2 linked regions of the Caenorhabditis elegans genome follow. The protein of the gene in region 2 purifies or fractionates together with the protein of the main gene of each other region. This does not show direct contact. Each region holds a gene or a part of one and is shown on either strand. Other genes may lie near its edges.

What was found.
Region 1: the proteins of F21A3.3 (region 2) and F59A6.12 fractionate together in Caenorhabditis elegans (co-fractionation; one large-scale study listed by BioGRID). This does not show direct contact.

What each region holds. Positions count from the first base shown.
Region 1 is NC_003280.10:5,010,786-5,013,913, forward strand, and holds F59A6.12 (C6 domain-containing protein), read right to left. Parts: upstream 1,294-3,128; 5' UTR 1,272-1,293; coding exon 1,214-1,271; intron 1,165-1,213; coding exon 989-1,164; intron 947-988; coding exon 803-946; 3' UTR 738-802; downstream 1-737. Other genes in the region: F59A6.3 (Sushi domain-containing protein), read left to right, coding at 9-306, 357-394.
Region 2 is NC_003283.11:15,515,941-15,520,181, reverse strand, and holds F21A3.3 (EGF-like domain-containing protein), read right to left. Parts: upstream 2,470-4,241; 5' UTR 2,467-2,469; coding exon 2,391-2,466; intron 2,348-2,390; coding exon 2,228-2,347; intron 2,185-2,227; coding exon 2,050-2,184; intron 1,921-2,049; coding exon 1,836-1,920; intron 1,784-1,835; coding exon 1,691-1,783; intron 1,538-1,690; coding exon 1,386-1,537; intron 1,030-1,385; coding exon 831-1,029; intron 709-830; coding exon 636-708; 3' UTR 630-635; coding exon of another isoform or gene 585-629; 3' UTR 509-584; downstream 1-508. Other genes in the region: lgc-31 (Neur_chan_memb domain-containing protein), read left to right, coding at 427-508, 585-629, 3,183-3,292.

The sequences.
Region 1 (3,128 bases), on a different chromosome or scaffold from region 2:
ATTTTCAGGGCTCAACACTTCCAACCAATTCATCTTCTGGATCTTCTGATTCATCAACATCACCATCAACATTCACAGTTTCTTACAACAACACAAATTCCTCTATCACTTGCATCGAACCATCCCTGAACTTGACCTACACTTCCAGTCCAACTTCTTCACAAATCAAAAGCAGTTATTCTGTCGGAGAGCTCATCACTCAAGTTTGCCCGCAATCTTATGTTTTTGAAATTGCACTGCAACCTGTGAAGATCTATAAGTGCTTGAAAACAGGAAAATGGGCAGGATCACCAGAGAATTGTATTTGTAAGTTTTGAAGTATAAATTGTTTAAAAACAAATGTGTGACTTTTTCAGATGGAAAGAGTGAACTAAAATTGCCAACAAGACTTTAATGATTTGTTAAAATTTTAAATCTATGTCCGGAAATAAATTAATTTGTGTTACTCTGAGAAACTTGACAATTAAAGTTTGTGAATATATTGAATACATCGGTAAAATATTTATTTAGCTTAGGCACCGAAACGCCTAATTTTAGAGGCGTAGGTCAACTTAAAGGCAAGTAACTTGTAGTGCACTTTTGTTGTTCAAAATATTCTGAAAAATGTTTAAATGTGATCTTTTAGGGTATTCAGACACAATCATTATGCATTTCGGTTCCAATTAATGGTTTTTTCTTCATAAATTTCAGTCAAAACTTGGGAAAAATATTTTTTTTTAAATGAATGTACTGTGAAGTTTAGTATTTATTTTATTACTCATTTTCCTATTTTTGAAAGAAAAATATATTTTATTCCAAATACTCAATAAACAATCCAAACTCCGCCAGTAGATCTCATGATACAACCAATATTGTCATATTTATCGGATTTCTTATCAACTTTCCACATTTGAGAAGAAGTGTCGCATACAAGAGACGCCGAGATTGAAGATGAACCTTTTTTGATCTCGAAAAAGTATATTTTTAAAATTCAAAAAAGTTTTCTCACGACTAAAGGCTTTGTATCTGCCTGTTCCGTTAAATTTCCAGAAATTCCAACTGCAACATATCCACTCCCATTAGTGTCAATTTGACAAAGCACTGAAACTGGTTCAGAACATTTAAAGTCTTCTTTTGTAACATTTGTCATAGCGGAAAATGAATAAGCCGGGAATTGGCAACATTCTGGAACTAATAGATATAGTTAAATTAAAAATGTTTTTATGTTTCCTACTTTTTCCCAAAATTGAAACAGGAAGTGGTAACAGAACCAAAGCGAATAAATAATTCATGTTTTTGCAGTGAATTTTCTTCAAAATTTTGGTTTTATAGCATCTATTTGAACACATTCTATTATGGAATTTGAAACAAAAAAAGCTGACGCACAGCGATGACTAATCGTGTTCAAATGAAAATTATTGAAACGAACAGATTGAACAGAAATTCAACGGAAAAACAAAGTTGAACTTTCCATACTGAAAATTTTTAAAACATACATAAATTCAAACTTTCCTCAAAACAAAATTGGAGTTCTGTTTATACAAGTGCTCTTTACTGTAAGCATATTTTTTTGCGAAATCATACAAGTAATTAATCGGAATGCATTTTTCCATATCATGAATTTGAAGGAAATCTCGCCGCACCTGCTGCTGCAAATCGGTGAGCATTATAAAACCTTTTGCGTCCAGTGGTCGTAAGTCATACATAACAAACCGACCACACCTCGTTTCCAACACACAATCGGATATACCAAGTTTAGACAAAGAGGATTCAAGTCATTGTATTATGCCTTTGCCAATGAACAGAGAAGAGATATCAAGCGGCCTCTTGTGGGTTAAATGTAAACCATTTGAAAACGTTTTAAAAGCTGAAATTTTGAAGAGAGCAAAAGAATGAAACTTGCAAAATTCATTCATTAAATAAGATCAAGCAGGGCTCTATGGATTGTACTCGAGGGTTTTCTTATCAAGCCTTCTTTGGGTTGAACTCGGTTGGGAGTGGACCTCTACCTCCACCAAATTTGGTGCACTTTTAAACCTAAACATTTTTAACAAGAGAAAAAACAACGAGCTTTCAAAATTCATTTATTGAGCAAGGTCGAAGAGGGCTCTATGGGTTGTACTCAATTGGAAGGTTCTTGCGACGAACCATACCGTCTCCTTGGAACCATTCACGGCGGAATTGCTTTGCAGCTCCATCCGGGGTGTTGGTCCACTCAACAGTAATACGGTCGTTGTTAGTGTCCTACTGTCCAAAGGCGAAGGCATCACAGGAAACAGCAAGAAGGACTGCTTCCTTTGGGTCCAAAACTCCACATGGTGGATCAACTCCAAGTCTCTTCATATTGGTGGTCTTGATACCGTATCCAATACGGCGAGCCGAGGAGTTGATCACCTTGATGTGGTAGGTGTGCTTGTCATCGTATGGTGCATTGAAGACGATCTTCGTACCCGGCTGGGTCTGGATATCTCCTGGTGGGACGGATTGGGCACTGGCGACTTCTTTGTAGAGTGTGGAAACTTACAGTGAAGATTATGGTAAACTCTGCTCAATTTATAGCAAATTTCTCTCTTATCTTTGTCCCAGATCTTTACAATAGCCACGTCACATAAAGTTCAGAAAGTTAATAAATTAATTTAATGATTTTTAAAATCCGTGAAAGAGTTAAATTTTAGGAATGATTTTGAAAATATATTTTTAATCTATTGCCGCACAGGTCTTTGGCTTCAGCATAACTATGCATGAAAAAACATGAAAAACCCATCTTACTCTGTTCGGCCCTATCAAAAATCTCTAAAAAATGTTTCACTAGATATTTTTCAAATTTTTTGAATATTCCGACAAGAAAGCATCTCATTTCATATCTTCAATTTGACGGAAGTTTAGTTATAAGTTCCAAAGTAGTTTTAAAGTTCAAGGCAAAAATTTAATCGGATATTAATATGACCTTTTTCCTGTTTGTAAACGTTTGTTTTTCAAACATCTCCTTTTTTCAGGAACTGATCTTTGGGTTGATAACACATTTTGAATTTTCAAAATCCAAATCCTTACCATGATATTCAACGAAATTCTCAGCAAAAAAATAACCAAAAATAAAAACTCAATTTTTGATTCAATTTAACTTTTGAAGATTTCAGGTGATTTTATTT
Region 2 (4,241 bases):
TCAAAATCTCTTCATAGACTCTATTCCTATCTCTAGTAGAACTCCTTCACTAAAAAAACCATCGACAAGAGAGTTCGGCTTCTGGTGAAAAATTAAATTAAGCCCCTCTCAATTCCTTTTTAGCAAATAGTTTCTTGCGCGCCACCGAATTCAATTGTTCCGTGGTCCGGAGAAAGTGGTAATGAAAATGGATTTTCAATGAGAGAATGCACTGGAGTGTGTGGCACAAAGTTCTAAATTTGATTATGTATATACAGTACGGTTTTTCTGCAAAAAAGATGACCTAGATAAGGGACTTTTGAACTTCGTGGCCGACACCTCGCGGGTTTTTAACTTCCACTGCAATCCTACGCAACCCGTGCGGTGTCGCATGCCCCGTAACAAAAATGTCTTCCTGATCAATTTTTACACCTGCAAAACTTTCAGAAAAGGCACACGTCCAGTGACCCATCCGAAAAAGGTGATCTCAGTTTCGATGAGCGTATTCCTGTATCAAATCGTTAAGCTGGTAAGTTTTTATTTCGAATTTCTACAACAACAAAAAATCAATAATAAAATAGACCCGTTTCAATAAATCATTTCAGGACGCCGTCAAGAACACCATCAGTCTGTCGGGCAGCTTTGAGTTGGTGAGTTTACAGGGACTTTCGCTTTTTCTCAACGGGTGTCGGGATAAGATCCGTCATGTAGTTGAACACTTTTTTGTACCTGGAAAATTGAGGTTGATCTCGAGCAAGTGTATTTTAATGTGCAGAAAACGTGGCAAAAGAATTTTACAAAAATATGACGTCATTAGATTTGCCGCGCTTTCTCAAGATCATACGGTAAACCTTTTCAACCATTTGGTTGTAACTCCACGGCCATCAACCATCACAACCCGTTCTTCCAAAGAGTTGGCATTTATCAAATTGAACATTCTCTTTGACTTGACAATTTCGTCTCGGAACACTCCAGCCATTCCCTTCTTATATTTGGTTTCCAATCGGATTTGGGTACCGCGCACAGTTCCTTCCTCGATGAGCATTAGACCTGAAGAAATTTGTAGCTCAAGTGGGTGGTGAAGAAAATGGTCTGCGTCTCGTGTCGCCGAAAATTTTGGGATTCTCGGCTAATAACACTAGCCGGCAAATGACACTCCTGACATCCTAGTGTGCTCCTTTAGGAACCTAGATTGCCCATCGGCTTGGTCATCTTATCCGCGACCCTAGAATCAATGACAGCGGTAGCGCTAGCTTTCTGTTTCATTATACCCCCTCTTTGTTACATAGTTCTAGAAAGGTGACAAAGCTTGACAGAAAGTTGAGACCATAGACCACTTGCCGAGACCTGGGTCGCTATGCCGTGGGTTAGCGAGAACAATTCCGCAGCGTAAAATTAACCGTTACCTGTATTAGTCACAAGCTCAATCGACACCAAATCGTCCCCTTCGTCCGGTTTGTTCAACTCCACAAAACCCGTATCCTCGTGGAAAGGTTTAGACGTCAAAAATCCGAATTCCACGTGGACATCGGTCCCATCAAGCGTCTCGGCTCGCACTCTACAAGTTGTAGGTTGTTATTCATCGGGGCGCATTTGCATACATCCCATCAAAAATGCCAAAACCTCAAAGCTCAAAACCCTTGAACAACAAACAAAACAAGTAAAATATCGAATAACATCACACGATAGACATAAAATTTTTCTGACTTACGAAATATTAACCGGCGGTCTGTCAAAAGAGGGAACTTCCGAAATTTGAACGTCCAAGATTTCCTTGTAAGGTCCGGACATTGGCTCCGGAAATCTAAAAGTTTATAGAACATATGCCAACCTATTCAAAAATTATTCTTATTTACCTATGATGAGCACTTGTCTTTGACTCCCATCTGCCCACAAACCACTCAATGTTGTCGAGAATTGGTGGAAGAGCGAGCGCCAGCTCTGGAAAAAACAAGAATATCTTGGGGTCCAAAAGAGCTATCAAAAAGTTGTCAACTGATAAAGTGTTTAGCATAAAATTTCCTACATTTTGTCAGTGGACAACATTTTGTGAGGAATGACAAAACTCACGCTTTCCGTTATTTTTGCATTGGCCGCAGGACAAAGCACAGTTGTCAGCGAAAAATGGAGAAATCGGCCGCGTCCAGTGACAGCGTTCTTCTGACTTCCACCGAGCACAACTTTTGTAGACATCTTGGCATGGTCCTAAAAAATTGGGTTTTTGGGTCTCGACGCGAAAACTGGTTACTTTGACATCTTCTACCCATAAGTCCAAATGGGCATTCACACCGATTTCCTAGTGACAATTCCATGCACTTTCCGCCGGGACCACACGAATTCGGTTCGGACGGAGAGCAAAAATCGATTACTGAAAATTTCCGAATTGATGTGCCGCAGAATGCGAAACTTACTTGTTTTTGTCATGGTCTGTGAATAGGTACATACGGCTAAAGAAGATAAAAATAAAACTAGGTTTATCCTGGTCATGGTCTGCAATGTTTGAGGGGTCATTAGATCCATAAAGCAAAAAGGAGGGGAAAGGGGGGAGGGGGGAAAAGTGAGAATACAATAATAAATAAAAAGATGCGCAAATGCCAAAACGACACGATGCCAAACGCCGATAGTAATGAGAAATACACACGAAAGTGAGAATAAACACACGCGCATATACAAGTGGACAATTCCATTTGAAGGACGCGCCTGTTTCCTCAAAAGCATGTCAAACGAAAAAAGTAGGTCCTGGCCGGGTTCGAACCGGCGACCTTCTGTGTATGAAGCAGACGTGATAACCACTACAGGACCCGCCGAAATTCGGCTGTTGAGGGGTTCAACACACACAGAGGGGTTCAACAAATTAGCATGACCGTAATAAGCTACTCAAAAAATGAGGTACATCGAAAACGATGATTTGGGAATAAAAATGGAAATTGGCGAAAAGGAAGGAGAATATTGAAGGTCGTTCAAGACCAGTTGACACAAGTACTTGATAAGGGAAGGCCAACACATCGAGGAAGTTAAGAGGGGGCGGGTTGGGGGCCAAATGTAATGTTACAGCAGTTTGTGGCGGTAGAAAACTGCAAAAATAGATCTCACTGGAACCGAGGGAACTGAAAAAGTTTGCATAGGACACAAGAACTTATCCGACGTGGCCCGCAAAACGTCGGCTGCGCGCTACTATCTATTTTAATATACGATCATTGCAGTACTGGGAAGACGAATTCTTGAAGTGGAACCCGTCGAGCTACGAGGGAGCCGAAGAGATTTTCCTGTCGAGTTCCGATATTTGGATCCCCGAATTTTCGTTGTACTACAGGTGATTTAATGAGTACAGACAAAAAATGAACACTTAATAAAAGTGAGAGTGAAAGGGAAAATAAGTGAGAGAATAGTAAAAAATGATGGGTGGAAATTGAGGAACGTAAGTAGGAACGGAGAAGAGATAATGATCGAAAATCGTCAAAACTCCTCTGCAGAAATCGAACCATTGACTTTCTGGGCCTGAGCCATCCGTGTTCACCACTGCGCCATTTGAGCGCGCGGACCGGAATTTTAGTTGGCACGAAAGGTCAAAGTTTCGCGAACTTTTCTTTCTCTTTTACACTGTTCGAGTATCTAAATTAGCTTCTCGTCACTTTTTTTCTCTCGCGAACAGCAGATAAAAACACATAAATCTCATTGTACTAATCACTTTTTTTTATTATCCTATCTCTATTATCGCCTAAGATTTTATTATGTGTAAGAAAAAAAAATTATTTCTAGAAAAAAATCGAACCCATTGTAAACTGTATAGCAAACTGTATAGCTTGCTACAATAGAATTTTTAAAAATACGTTAAAAAAGCCAATTTTGAGAGATGTTAGGTCCTGGCACGAGCGAAACTTTTCGGCTATCGTAGCCATGATTTAAAGGCGCACGCATTTATTCGGATGGGTCTCGCTGCGAAAAAGCTTACGGTAGTTTTTTTTTTCTGAAATGGCTTCTTTTGGAAAATGACAAATAAAAAACTGAAAAAAACTTAGCGAATATCAAGAATTCTCAGAAACTTGTAATTCACAGTTAGCACGAATAAATTTCCAAAAATAGAAATCAACACTCTATGCGCCTTTAAATGTTCAATATTTTGAGTTAGAGCACAGTTTAAGACTTCTATGGAGTGATAGAGAGACGCAGACATACAAATCCTACTGAAAACTGCGACTGAAGCATATGAGGGACATTGAGAATTACGAAGAACACGTTCCAGCGGCGAAGACCTGTGGGCT